3 linked regions of the Elephas maximus indicus genome follow. The main gene of each other region encodes a partner of the protein of the gene in region 3 in a complex. Links are inferred from orthologs where the notes say so. Each region holds a gene or a part of one and is shown on either strand. Other genes may lie near its edges.

The links.
Region 1: SNRPD2 (region 3) and SCNM1 share a complex: the UniProt entries of both Homo sapiens proteins name them as parts of the minor spliceosome. The link is inferred for Elephas maximus indicus from reciprocal best matches to the Homo sapiens genes SNRPD2 and SCNM1.
Region 2: SNRPD2 (region 3) and SRRM2 share a complex: the UniProt entries of both Homo sapiens proteins name them as parts of the minor spliceosome. The link is inferred for Elephas maximus indicus from reciprocal best matches to the Homo sapiens genes SNRPD2 and SRRM2.

What each region holds. Positions count from the first base shown.
Region 1 is NC_064821.1:185,197,952-185,202,201, reverse strand, and holds SCNM1 (sodium channel modifier 1), read right to left. Parts: upstream 3,264-4,250; 5' UTR 3,127-3,263; coding exon 3,076-3,126; intron 2,814-3,075; coding exon 2,743-2,813; intron 2,490-2,742; coding exon 2,401-2,489; intron 2,301-2,400; coding exon 2,206-2,300; intron 2,086-2,205; coding exon 1,997-2,085; intron 1,244-1,996; coding exon 1,049-1,243; intron 900-1,048; coding exon 800-899; 3' UTR 203-799; downstream 1-202. Other genes in the region: TMOD4 (tropomodulin-4), read left to right, coding at 105-127; LYSMD1 (lysM and putative peptidoglycan-binding domain-containing protein 1), read left to right, coding at 4,090-4,250. UniProt on the Homo sapiens protein: As a component of the minor spliceosome, involved in the splicing of U12-type introns in pre-mRNAs. Plays a role in the regulation of primary cilia length and Hedgehog signaling.
Region 2 is NC_064830.1:59,942,843-59,947,092, forward strand, and holds the start of SRRM2 (serine/arginine repetitive matrix protein 2), read right to left. Parts: upstream 3,306-4,250; 5' UTR 3,223-3,305; intron 1-3,222. UniProt on the Homo sapiens protein: Required for pre-mRNA splicing as component of the spliceosome. As a component of the minor spliceosome, involved in the splicing of U12-type introns in pre-mRNAs.
Region 3 is NC_064829.1:103,950,226-103,954,475, reverse strand, and holds the start of SNRPD2 (small nuclear ribonucleoprotein Sm D2), read right to left. Parts: upstream 2,777-4,250; 5' UTR 2,695-2,776; coding exon 2,693-2,694; intron 580-2,692; coding exon 400-579; intron 1-399. Other genes in the region: QPCTL (glutaminyl-peptide cyclotransferase-like protein), read left to right, coding at 3,509-3,715, 4,206-4,250. UniProt on the Homo sapiens protein: Plays a role in pre-mRNA splicing as a core component of the spliceosomal U1, U2, U4 and U5 small nuclear ribonucleoproteins (snRNPs), the building blocks of the spliceosome.

The sequences.
Region 1 (4,250 bases), on a different chromosome or scaffold from region 3:
AGACACTACTTCTTTATCAGTCTGTCCAAGGGCCTAGAAGAGGAGAAGAGTGCCTTTGCAGGAGGATGGAACAAAGACTTGTGTTTCCTTTCCCTCCTTTACAGGTCGCCAGCAAAAGAAGAGATAACACTGCCTTTTCATTTACCAACTAGAGCTGGGAGCCCTGGACACTTAAATCCTTATCTATCCCCCTTCCTGTAAATAAAGGCCCTTCTGTCCACTCTGCCTGCCTTGGGCTTTGGGGTAGGAATCTTGGCAATAGGCCCCAAGGGTTACTGCCAGTTCACCAGGGGATTATTTATACTCTGGGGATCAGCAGGCAGGGAGGTTCAGGTTACCAGGGGAAGGTGGGGGAGCTCCCTCCCTTGGTGTTCCCTATAACTCTGCCAGTGCCTTTGGTCTATTCTACTTTCATAGGGTACCTAGCCTCAGCTCTGTTTCGAGATGTGGCTGGGTCCCCCCCAAGGGCCTACCCAGAGCCTTCATGCCATCTGAAGGGGGAAAGGACTTTCAGTGGAGGTGGGGAAGGAAGTAGACAACATGAAGGGCAAAGACCTGCTTCTGACAGACTTATTAATAGGGCACTGAGCTGCATGCAGCTGACGCTTGGCATGACGTTGGTAGAAGGTGGGGAGGGGTTAGAATTATGGGGTGCTGTGTACCTTGTAAGGAAGGAGTGTCTAACCTGAGAACGAACAGATTTCATATCCTGAGATGGGACAATGAACCAGACTTGAGGAAAGTTAGGCTCCCAGCACCTGTTGTAGTTTATTTGTGAACTGAATGGGGAAAGAGGGTATCAGTCCAAGGGGAGATCAGGGGGTTCCTCCTCATCAGAGTCAAACTCAACATTTTCATCTTTCACCCATCGACCCTGTCCATCTGGGATCCATCCAGAGCTGGAAACATCAGAGTAAACAGAACTGGTCAGAATGAGGATAGGAGGTTTATTAAGAAGTTAGTAGGGATGAGAAAAAAACTCAGTAGGTTTGAAAAAAAGGCCAGAGAGAAAAGAGCAAATGCGAGGGAAGTGATTCGGCATACTTACCTTCGAAGAGTGAGGTAACGATCCAGGGCTTGTCTTCTCGTGGGGCTCATGGGTACAGGGGCTGGGACAGTTGCTGATTTCTTGGCCTGTGGACCTGTTTCAGGCTCAGATTCCCTGCTGATCTTCCGACTTTGGAGTTCAGCCTCTGCAGGTGGCAAACGGGAATGGACGACGGAGGGACCAGGGGCTTCTGGTCTGGGTGGAGAAGGATTGAAGTCTGTAAAAGTGGTAAAGGAAAGGGCCAGCTCTCCTGTGACTCCCAACCCCTTAATGCAGCGTTTTCTAAACCATGTTCCTCAAGCTATTAATGAGAATTGTGCATAAAAAGGATTTTGAAGTCAAATGAATTTGGGAAAGCCTAGGTTAAACAAAATTTTTAAAGGTTTTTTTTTTAATTTCAAGACTTTGTAGAGCCCTTAAATATGCTAATATCACTATGCTTAAAGTAGAATTACAAAGCGCCATATCCCAAACTTTATTTGAAATCACGAAAAAATTTTTTTTTCCTGGAATACCAATTAGCATCTTCAGAACATAGTATTCCTCAGGATACGATTGGGAAGACAATAATTTTAGAGCCATCTATCTCCCACTGTCCCTCCCTACTGATTCCCATACTAGTAGTTCTTTTCCACCCACTGTCTCCATCTTTTTATGTCCCTAACCAATGTGAAAGACCTTTCACTGTTATTCCCCTATTCTTAATTCCTCCTAATACAGCAACGTGCCGTGAGGAAAGAATAGCCTTCTAAACAAATGGTGCTGGGACAACTGGGTAATCCTCATGTAAAAGAATGAAGTTGGACACCCCCCGCCACCTCATACTGTGTACAAAAATTAACTCAAGATGGATCAGGGACAAATTTAAGAGCTAATACAGTAATGCTATCCTTTCCCTATTTCCCATGCTCAAGTCATATTTTTCTCTGGCTTTCCCATCCCACAGACCTGTACTTCCGGCGGCAGCAACTGTTATAGTGGGGAGCTCTGTGTAGAGCACTCTGAGTGATAAATCGAGTCTGGGCCAGCAGAGGAGCCTGGTATGGGGATAGGGGAAAAGAATCAGAGCCATGAGAGCTAGAGAGAAGCCAAAGCCCTTCAAGCCTGGGGTGTGCAGCAGGGTCTTGTCTGGGACACACCTTTCCCGCTCTGATTACCTCAGCTTTGTTCTCCTCCCTCAGTTCATTCTGCTGTCTTGGATTCTGCTCCATTCCCTTTCCTGGCTGCTTCTTGCCATAAAAACGCTGCAAGCCTGAGGAGTAGGGGGGAGGGAATTAAAAGCAAAGCGCTAAGACTGGTCTGCAGAGGTTTCAAGGGTTTACACTCTATCCCATGCACTCTTTTAAACTTACTGGACAGATGTTTCTTCCCTGCACGATGGGCAGTCAGCATGGCCAGGGTGTCCAATACAGGCCGGTGAGGGCAGATGGCACAAGCAAAGCTGAGGAGGGGTAAAGAAGACAGTTGGTACAGGGGTAGGAGTGGGAGGTCTGCTGTAGGTTCCATCCTGTCCTAGTAGTCCTTTCCAAAGCCCTACTCCCAGTTCTAACCTCCACCGCCCACATCCCTGTCTCTTCCAGTCTCTCACTCTCTGCCAAAGAATTTTAGATACTCCAGAACTCCCCCATAATAACAAAAGCTTATTGAGCCTCCAACCGCAGAACTCTCAGGCTTGAATCCTTCCTCGCCCTCACCGTCCATCCCGTAGCATCAGCGCCTCATCCTCTGGGATATAACTGGCCAGCAAGTCCCCGACTCTTCGTTTCTGGAGGGAGTAAGGGAACAAATCCGAACGGAATAAGCGGGACAGGAGGCAGAGATGGAAGGGAAAAATGATAGAGACGAGGCATCAAAGGGAATAAGGTCCATTGGAAACAAGCGATCATAGGGCGAAGAAGAGGTCTAGGAGCCTGACTCCCTCTCGCCCCTCATCCCTCCGAGCTGTTTCCAGAGCAACGAAACAAAGCTCTTTCAGAGTTTTCAGAGGGTGGCTGAAGCTGCTCCAGACCCTCTACTTTCGCGCTTACTTTGAGTACATTGAGTTGACTCCAATCGTCTCCTTCTCTCTTGAAAGACATCGCGACTGTCAGCCTCAGAAGCAACAAATTCGCGGTACCAAATTTTTCACTCCCTTCAGGCCACCGTAGCGGTAGAGGGGTGTCTCCTCGCCCTCTGCCTGTCTTTTCCGGTTGGCCTCGTTACTTCCGGGGTGTGCTTCCCCGCATGCATTGCGCGATTCTGAAAACACTGTTCTTGCGCAAAGGGGACTGCTTTTCCTATGGTGCCCTGCGACCCCGCCGGCGCGAAGCCTCTTGGGAAATGAAGTCTTTTCTCAAAGAACTTGTCGCCCGGCTGGAAGCAGGCCCTTGAATCTCGGCAGATTCGAAGCATTTGAAGAGACAAGAACCTATATGTGGAGCTGATGCTTGAACCCGAATTTAAGACCGATCTGATGCGGAGTAGGTCCTTAAGGATCGATGAGTGGATAGTGGACTACAAACTCTCCAACCACCCGCTCTTCATCTGCGACGTCAGCTCACCTAGGGTGGGCCCGGCTCGTTCCAGACCCTAGGGGATCAACCCCGGGACGGGGCGGAGCTGGGGCGAAGGGGGGTCGGGAGCCCGGGCTGCCCGGCTGTGGAGCAAACTGAGGAAAGGGTGTTGAGGAAGGTACCTAGAGTTCCAAGGTCAAAGGTCAGTGTAGCGAGGAGTTGTGGGGTTCCAAAGGGAGACTTTGGTAGAGACTGAATACCCAGGGGACCAGATTTGTGGAAAAGGGACTTGGAGGGAGAAAAAGCGAGGGCAGATAATATCTGTCTAGAATATCCTAGGTCCCTAGGGGAGGGAGGGGAGGAGTGACGGGGGCGGGTGGAGGTTCGGGGAGTGAAGAGGAGCTGAGGTCGGGGCGGGGGGAAGGGAAGATTTAGGAGAGAAGGGGAAGGATCTCCCTGGATATCCATTCCCAGACGCCGGCCCGTCACTGTCCATCACTTAGCCGGTCCTCCCTCAGTCGCAACCGGAGCTGTCAGCAGGGTGAGGAGATGGCTTCTCCCTCTAGACAGCCCCCCCTCGGGGGATCAGGACTGCTTCAAGGGAGCCGGGCTCGTTCTTATGGAAGCCTGGTGCAGTCCGTCTGCTCCCCAGTGAGGGAAAGACGCCTGGAGCATAAACTGGAACCTGGAGACACTCTGGCTGGACTAGC
Region 2 (4,250 bases), on a different chromosome or scaffold from region 3:
CTGGGGGGGAGCGGGGAGACACGGGTCAGGCCCTGGCCCCAAACTAACCACTTACCACCACCGAAGTCTCTGCTCTCCTTCAACATTTATCTCTGCACTAGCCTCCTTTAGCTGCACACTGTACTTCATTGTCCTTCTGGTCTCCTAATCAGGTCTCGCTTTTTCGTCCTTCCCGCACTGCTCACATTCCACCAAATCACAGACCAGCTCTCATAGGCTTTCCCCCAGTGTTCTTACACAGAATTCTGAATCATTCCTGCTTGCACCTACATTTTTGTCTTTTTCCACCCTAGACCAACAAGAATCGTACTTCTCTCACATCTCTCCGCTGTCGTCCCTTCATCCTGCTTTGGTTCCAATACACACAAATAGCATCTTCCTAACCTCTGGTAACTGACTGAGGCCTCCAAATAGGGCATGACCAACACCAGACACAGATCTGTAGCATCCTAGGGCCTGTAGTCCAAGTCTCTTCCAAGATACAACCTGAGGCTTTGAGGCCACCGTACATATACAAAATGGACTAAAGGGCCCATACTCATCTGAGCAAGTGGCCTGACTGGTTAAGAGAAACAAGCGTCCTGTACAGCCTTTCACTCAGAATGAAGGCCAGCAAGCACATCAGAAACCACATGAACTTTAGATACATAATGCTCTAATACTTCACCTCCCAGATAAGAGGCCACTTCCTTGATTCTAAATATTCATAGCTCCTCTCCACTGTCCTGATTGATATTTTCTTCCCTTAATTTCCTTCTCAATAAGATTTCTCATTTGATTGGTAATTCTCTCCAAATCTTACTAAAAAACCAGTCGACTCTAGCTCCCATTAAATACTACCTGTTTTCAATTCAAATTCTATTTAAATATATCAAACTAGTCACTGTTAAAACTACTCTCACAGCTTCTCTACCCTATTTGCCCTAAACCCACCAATATTCTCTACACTTCACTTTCAGTCATACTAACCCGTCCTTGGCTTTCACTACCGATACCCTAAATGTCACTTTCTGGTTATTCTCTTATAAGCCTCACCTTACCCTTTCTCCTGTTACTCCTATGCCTCCCACCCCACGCATGACCCTAAAGAGCGCCAGGCCCCCATTTTTCTACTCAGATTTCTTAGCCACACATATTCCTGTCTCCTGCTGTATGTTACACTCTTCGTTCCTTTCTCTCGCCCATCCTCGCCAAGACAGTTTTACAAAGCATAAATGTGTGAGGGCAAACTATCACAGGAAAAGACCCAAGGCTCAGGCAAAGAAGACACATTAGGCAGAGGTGAGGAAAAGCAAATGAAATAATCAGATAAAAAAAGTTACACTTAAACTTCAAAACAAAGGATTATCACATGAATAACTAGAAAATGCACTAAAGTGGTAAGAGAAAAAAGGAGGAAAGATGCTGAAAAGAACGGAGATTCCAGAATGACCACTCAACCCAAGCAGCAGACCCAAAAGAATGAAGGAGGAAAAAAAGGAACTATACCAGGTTAAAGGAGGAACAGGTGAGGTCATTATCTAGGGAAAGCAAATGCAAATGCACAAAAAGATTAAACAAAAAAAACTTCCTTTACAGCACAGAAAATAGATGTTCTGCCTTCCAATCTTTATTTCTATTTTCTTAAATACCAATCCTTCCCACTCTCCACACCTAAGTCCTTCTTTCCTCTATGGCCTGCCTAAAATCTGCTGCTCCCTTAGAGAATGCTTCTGACCTGAAATTCTTCAGTTAACCATTCAGGCACACTTCCATACCACCTCACACAAAAATCCGCCCACTCCCTAGCAGCTGCTAAGTTGATAAGGGTATTACGGCACAACGAATTACAGAACTTTTAGGGGAGGAGCCAAAAAAGAAAAACCCAATACCATGGCATCCAAGGCAGCGCTCAAAACACTAAAAGGAAAGCAGCCATGCAAAGGGGAATATCAACCACACACATACAAACCACCACGCCACTTTATAAAACACAGATTCTTATAACTAGGTCCATAAATTGTGGATATGCAAAATGTACCCAAGGTACAGGCACTAAGTAAAAGCGAGCTGCAAAAACAGGAGAATTTTTTTCTGTGGGAAAATTATCGGGGTGCCAAATAAAAGAGGCAGAGGAAAAAACTAAAATTCAGTACAGGCACTCAAGAAGAGAAAATGCACCAAGAAGAGAGGCAGAATGCCCAAGAAAATGCAAGATACGGACAACACGCTCAGGGCTGGGGCATTACAGTGGCTGAGTGGGCTCGACAGAACACGATTACACAAGGAAAGACCACAGAACAAACTTTTAAATTTCTCGATCCAGAATACAGAGATGTGTGAGTAGTAACTGAGACTCTGTAAAAAAAAGACTCAGAAACGTTGCACCAAACAGTGCTTGAAGCAGAACGCCAGACCTCTCAAACAGATTCCGGCGTTTTCTCCACAACCAAGGACTGGACAGCCTCCCACGCTTTAGCACGAATTTGGAGAAGTGACGGAAAAAAAAAAGTGGAGAAAAAAGGACCACGCGGTGCGCACTCTATAAATCTAAGATCTGAGCTGAATACATGGGCTCTTCTAAAGTACGCCCCCCACCCCAAATACTCCATGGAAAATAGTACCCAGTCCACGCGCTGTGCTTCATGAGGCACTGTTTCCAGGCCCTACTGCGCCGTCTGGGCCGCCGAGGCCTATTTTCGGCCTCCCGGGGTGGGGGAGGGGGCGGCGCAGCGCCCCGCAGTCTAGGAGGAGTGGGATGAACCCGGGCCTCCCGGGGGGTCGGCGGAGCCTACCACCCGAGAGAAAAGCGGGGGAAAAAGACCGGGGGCGGGGGCAAGGACCTGGGGTCAGGCCCTCCGCCACCCAACCACCCGCACCTCAGAAACGCCGACAAGGCCCTCCCGGGCCGCACGCGCGGGCAGCGGCGAGGAACCGAGGAGCGCGCGCGCCCGCCGCGACCGGAGCGCGCGAGCACGAGGGCGGTCAGCGGCGCGCGCCGTTACCATGGGGGAAGAGCGGGGAGTCGAAGCCCGCGCGCAACAGGAGCCGCAGGAGGGGGGAGGGGAAGCAGGCAGGCTAAGACGTCCACACAAGCCGGGGGTGCCGAGAGCGCGTGCGCGAGGCGGCCTGGGCCGTTCTCCGCGCGCTTTGGCCTCGCGCCGCGGCCGCCCCTCCCCCACCCAGCTCACGCGCTCCCTCACCCTCTCACCCGCCGCCGCCGCCGCCGCCGCCGCCGCCTGCCTTTTCTGATCGGGAGAGGTCCCGCCGCTGCCGCTGCTCGAGCTCCCGAGTCCCCTGAGGCCCGGAGCCGCCGCTGCCGCCGCCACGCCTCGCTGGTCTGCCCGCCTCAGCCGATGCTGACGTCTCCTCGCTTACTCGGGCCGCAGCGGGCTCCAACTGCGCCACTGGTACCCCGCCTGGGCCGCGCTGCACGCGCTGCACGTCAGCACGACTCGCTCAGCGCGTCATCACGCAATCGCGCGCGTCGCAGGGCCCTCCGGGAACCGTAGTATGCCCCACGGCCTTGTGCGCTTGTGCCCAAATGCCACTGGGAAGTGTAGTTTCTTAAGGCCCCAGAGAGATTCAACCTTGAGGCCGAAAAACTGCGAGTTCCATCGGCCAGTGCGAGGAAGGCTGGAGACGTGTCCGTAGGCCTTCCACGGTTGGGAGGGTTGGGGGGCGGGGGCAATAATACAGAGCCTAGGGCCACAGCGACCGGCGGCCTTCGGCCGGGAGCATTCTGGGAGTTGTAGTTCCGGCGTGCCACAGAACCCGTATGTGGCTTGGCCTCGGAGCACGGCCGCCATTTTATGTTCCTATGTTAGGGGTGATGGTCGGAGCGCAGCGACTCTGATTCTTGCTTGTAACTATGGGCTGCAGACCCCAACCTTTTGCAGTTTTGAGAAGCTGCCTCAGACGCCAGCAGACAGGAGGAGACCCTGGGGAATAATCTTCTGTTGCCTCCCAGCTAGGGTGACCAGGCAGGGATGCAATTTTCTCATACTGAATCTGGGATGTTTTATATGTGAATGTGTACACACATAAGGCAGAAGTCCACAGGCTTCAGAAAATTCAAATGCTTTAAACAGCTTGCTTGGCCTGCCCCGTAAAAATCCTGGTGATGGAAAGGGCCACATGAACCAGCGACTACATCATCCTGAAACCAGGAGAACTAGATGGTGCCCGGCTACAACCGATGACTGCCCTGACGGGGAACACAACAGAGAACCCCTGAGGGAGTAGGATAGCAGTGGGATGCAGACCCCAAA
Region 3 (4,250 bases):
GACACAAAACAGTTAAGCATTCAGCTGCTATCCAAAAGGTTGAAGGTTCAAGTCCACCAAGAGGTACCTCAGAAGAAAAGCCTGGCAATCTACTTCTGAAAAACCAGCCACTGGAAACCCTATGGAGTACGGTTCTACTCTGACACACAGGGAATTGGCCATGAGTTGGAATCGACTGATAATTGACCTGCTGAGGGTCAGGTGGCTACAAACAGAGTTGGGATGTGAACCCAGGTGAGGCAGCTCCTGAGTGCATGCTCACAACCACTGCTCTGGTGGGGCAACGAGAGGCAGCCAGCCCTTGGGGCTTCTGAGAAACCTTGTCTTTAGGGTTCTCAGATTGGAGGTAGGCTGCTCTCCAGGCCTGGACAGAACACCTCCCGAGACCTAGGCACTCACCTGTCGAAGGCCTTCACACGGCCCAGGAGCTTCTTGTTGTTGCGACAGTTGATGAGCACTTGGGTATTGTTTTTGACTGACTGCGTGAGCACGGAGAGGGGCCCAGTGTTAAACTCCTCCTCCTCTCGCTTCTGCAGCTCTTCCGGGGTCATCTCACTTTTGGGCTTGTTGAGGAGGCTCCTGGATGTCAAGCACGAGACATGTGAGTGAGAGGGGCTGGGGCCAGAGCACGGGGGAATCACAGCCTAACCTTCAGTGGCTCCCCCAGCCTGGCCTCAACACACCCACCCTCCTATAGCTCAGTCCTCTCTCTTAGCATCACCATTTGGATGCGTGCTATGGACTAAATTGTGTCCCTCCAAAATATGTGTTGGAATTATCACAGGAACTCAGCTGCTAACCAAAACGTCAGCAGTTCGAGTCCACCAGCCACTCACTGGAAACCCTGTGGGGCAGTTCTACTCTGTCCTGTGAGGTTGCTATGAGTCGGAATTGACTAACAGCAACAGGATTTTTTTCTTTTTTTAATATCTGGGGATGTGATCATGTTTGGGAATAGGATTTTCATTTTGATGTTAATGAGGCCCTATCCTAAATTTAATCGGTTCTGAGTGATAAAAATAGCCAATTAGACACATCACCAAGGAACTGAGGAACACAGGGGCTACAGATCATCCACCAAAGGACTTCTAGCCTCCTGAGCTATGAGAAAATAGATTTCTGTTTTTTAAAGCCAACCACTCGCGGTACTTGTGTTACTGCAGCATGACCTAACTAGAACGATGCCTAATAGGCATTCCTAACATTGCATGTCCCAGGCTGTGCAGCAACCACAGCTCCTCCATCTCTGTTGATGGCAACTCCATTCTTCTGGGCAAAAAACTCAAATGTCAACTTAGCTCCTCACTTCCTCTCCTAACCTACATTCCATCTGTTAGCAAATCCTGTCATCTGCCTCTAAAATACATGCAGAATCTGACCATTTCTTACCACGGTTACCACCCTGACATAAACCTCCAGCATCTCTCCCCTAGAATCTTACTGGTTTCCCTTCCTCAACCTCTGCTCCCTGGCAGTCTGTTCTTCACAGAGCAGCCCAACGGCTTGTGTTAAGACTAAGTCATTCTTCGAAATCCTTCCATGGTTCCCATCCCAGTGTAAACCTGATAAAAAAAAACCTGATGCCATCGAATCGGTTTCGACTCATAGTGACCCTACAGGACAGAGCAGAACTGCCACATCATTCTCCCTTGAAGTAGCTGAGAGCTTTGAACCACCGACTTTTTGGTTAGCAACGGCAGAGCGCGTAGCCACTGTCCTACTGGTGCTCCTTCATCTCAGTGTAAGAAGTAGAAATGCAGTTTTTGCAATGCCCTATATCTGCAACACCCCCATCCTGCTCCAGCCACAATGGCCTCCTGGGTGGTCTTTGAAGATATTAGGCAAGCTTTCAGTCTGGGGTCTCTGCATTTGCTTTTCCCCCTGCTTGGATCCCCCCCCAGATATCTGTGTGGTTTCCTGCCTCACTTTCCTCAAGTGTCATCTTCTCAATGTGGCCTTTTGTGCTAGTTATTAAGTTAGGCGTTCTTCATTTTTTTTAACCTGTTCTACTCTGAAACACATGAGACTGCCATGAATTGGGATCGACTTGATAGCCAACGGGTTTGGGTTTTTTTTTTTTATTGCTTCACCTAACACAACATATACTTTACTTGTTTACTATATTTATTGCCTGCCTTTCCCCTCATAAGCTGCACCCGGGAAGACATTTTTTCTGGGGGGAGGGAAGTTTCTATTTTTTTCACTGACACACTCCAGGTATGTAAAGCAGTGCCTGGTACGTAATGAGCACCCAATAGATATTCGGTGAGTAAAATCAGTCCCAGTGATCCAATATCCATAAAAGTCGCGAATCAGGCTGAAAAGCCGCATGTCTCTAGATCAAATCATCCAGCTAAGTCTCTCATCTCAAATCGTTACCCCTAAAAGGCCGCACTCGCCTCCTCCAAGTTCCTTAATCGTAGAACCACTTCCTCTTAGTATTTATTTCAACAAGACTAATTACCTGGGAAAGGTCCCAGCCCGTTATCTGATAAAGCAGTCCCCTCTCCCGAACTCATCTGTAAAAGGCCCCGTTCCCGTTCTCACATCCATCAAAAGTCCTCCATAAAATTTCTGCTTTTGCCCCCGACTCGTTATCAGGAAAGGGCCCTCTCACCCCCTTCCAACCGTTAATCGGCCAAATTTACACCCTCAACCCCACTCCCGCCGCCTAGTACGGGCCCGGCCTCACATGGTGCCGGCTGCGTTCTCAGGACACTCCTGTCTCCCCCGCGTTGCTTCTGCCTCTGAAAGGAGAGGCGGGACTTCCGCTTCCTGCGGCCCACTTCCGTCAGCGCCTGCGCAAACTCAAGCAGCGGATGGGGCGTGGCCTGTTGCTATAGCGATCCCCGCTAGCTGTGCTTAGTGATGGGATAAAAGCCTTGCTCAGAGGTTCGAGACCACTCAGAACCATTCGGGGCAAATCTTCACAACGATGAAGGGAAAAACAAAGGTGGTCTGACTCGAACCATTTCGCCGTATAACGGGATAGGCTAAAGGAAGGCAGCGAAACAGCGTTTCCAAATACCCGCCGGTCCGGCCTTCGGGGGCGCGGCCTCCGCAAAACCAATCCGCTCCTGGCTGCAAGGGTGGGTCCCGCCCCTTTTTCCTCAGGGACGGTTCATTTTCGCGTCCATCAATTTCTTCGACTCAGCACAACCAATCCGTTGCCTACATCCGGAAGGGGCGCGGACCTGCACCGGAGAGATCGAAAGTTTTCCAAGATTGAACCCTTGCCATTGGTTTCCCCTCCTCTGCCGAGGCGGAGCCTAGCCCTTTCGGTCTCCCTTTTGGGCTGTGCAACGCTCCGGGGAGCCAATTCTGCCAAGGGAGACGGGGAGGCGTGTCCTCGGACCGAGAGTTCCCATTGGTTCCTCTGCTCGCCAGGGTGGGATAATACCGTCGCTGTGGTTGCTCATTGGTCCTCCTACTGCATGGGGGGCTGGTCTTGGCTGGGCCTGAACTGGCGGCTCCGCGGTCCAGGACCGGGTTGCCTGGCAAAGCTGCCATGCGTTCCGGGAGCCGTGGGCGGCCCCGGCTACGGCTCGGGGAGCGCTTCTTGGAGCCCCCCTCACCGCCCAGGCGCCGCCTACTACCGCGGGCGCGGCTGTTGCCCCTGCTGCTGCTGGCGTTGGCCGTGGGCTCAGCGTTCTACATCATCTGGAGCTGCTGGGACCACAGCACCGGGGAGCTGCCGCTGGGCCAAGAGCTGCGGGTGAGGCCAGGCGCGGGGCCCGGGCTCCTCGGGGGCCCTTATTCCCCGCCGACCCTTCTCCAGGGTCTCGGGTTGACTGACGTGGCCTTATGGTGTGGCCCTAACCGCAGGTGCCACGGTCTTCGTCTTTCGAGCGCATGCACCTTTCCATCGGAATAAGGTTCCGGGTTTGTTTTGTCATTCTGGCTCCCCCTTAAGTGGAAGGGCCTGGAGTGGTAAGACTGAGCGTTGGGCGACTGAGCTCTAATCCTAAATCAGCTGCCTGGAAGATAACCTTCCTCTCCCTGGCCCTTGATTTCCCCATCAGGATTGGGGTGGGCTGGACCAGATGGACATCAAGGGACTTTTTTCCTGGGGCTAGGATTTATCCTAGAAGCCCCTGATGCTTATGAAGAGGTACCAGGCTCCTAGGGGGAAGCGGCGCCTGGGGTAGGGTCGGAGTGGGAATTGCTCTCATGTTCTGCACTTCTCTACCCTTCCCCCTACCAAGGCCCCGGTGATCGGAAGCCTCTCTGAAGCTCGGCTTCGGAGGGTG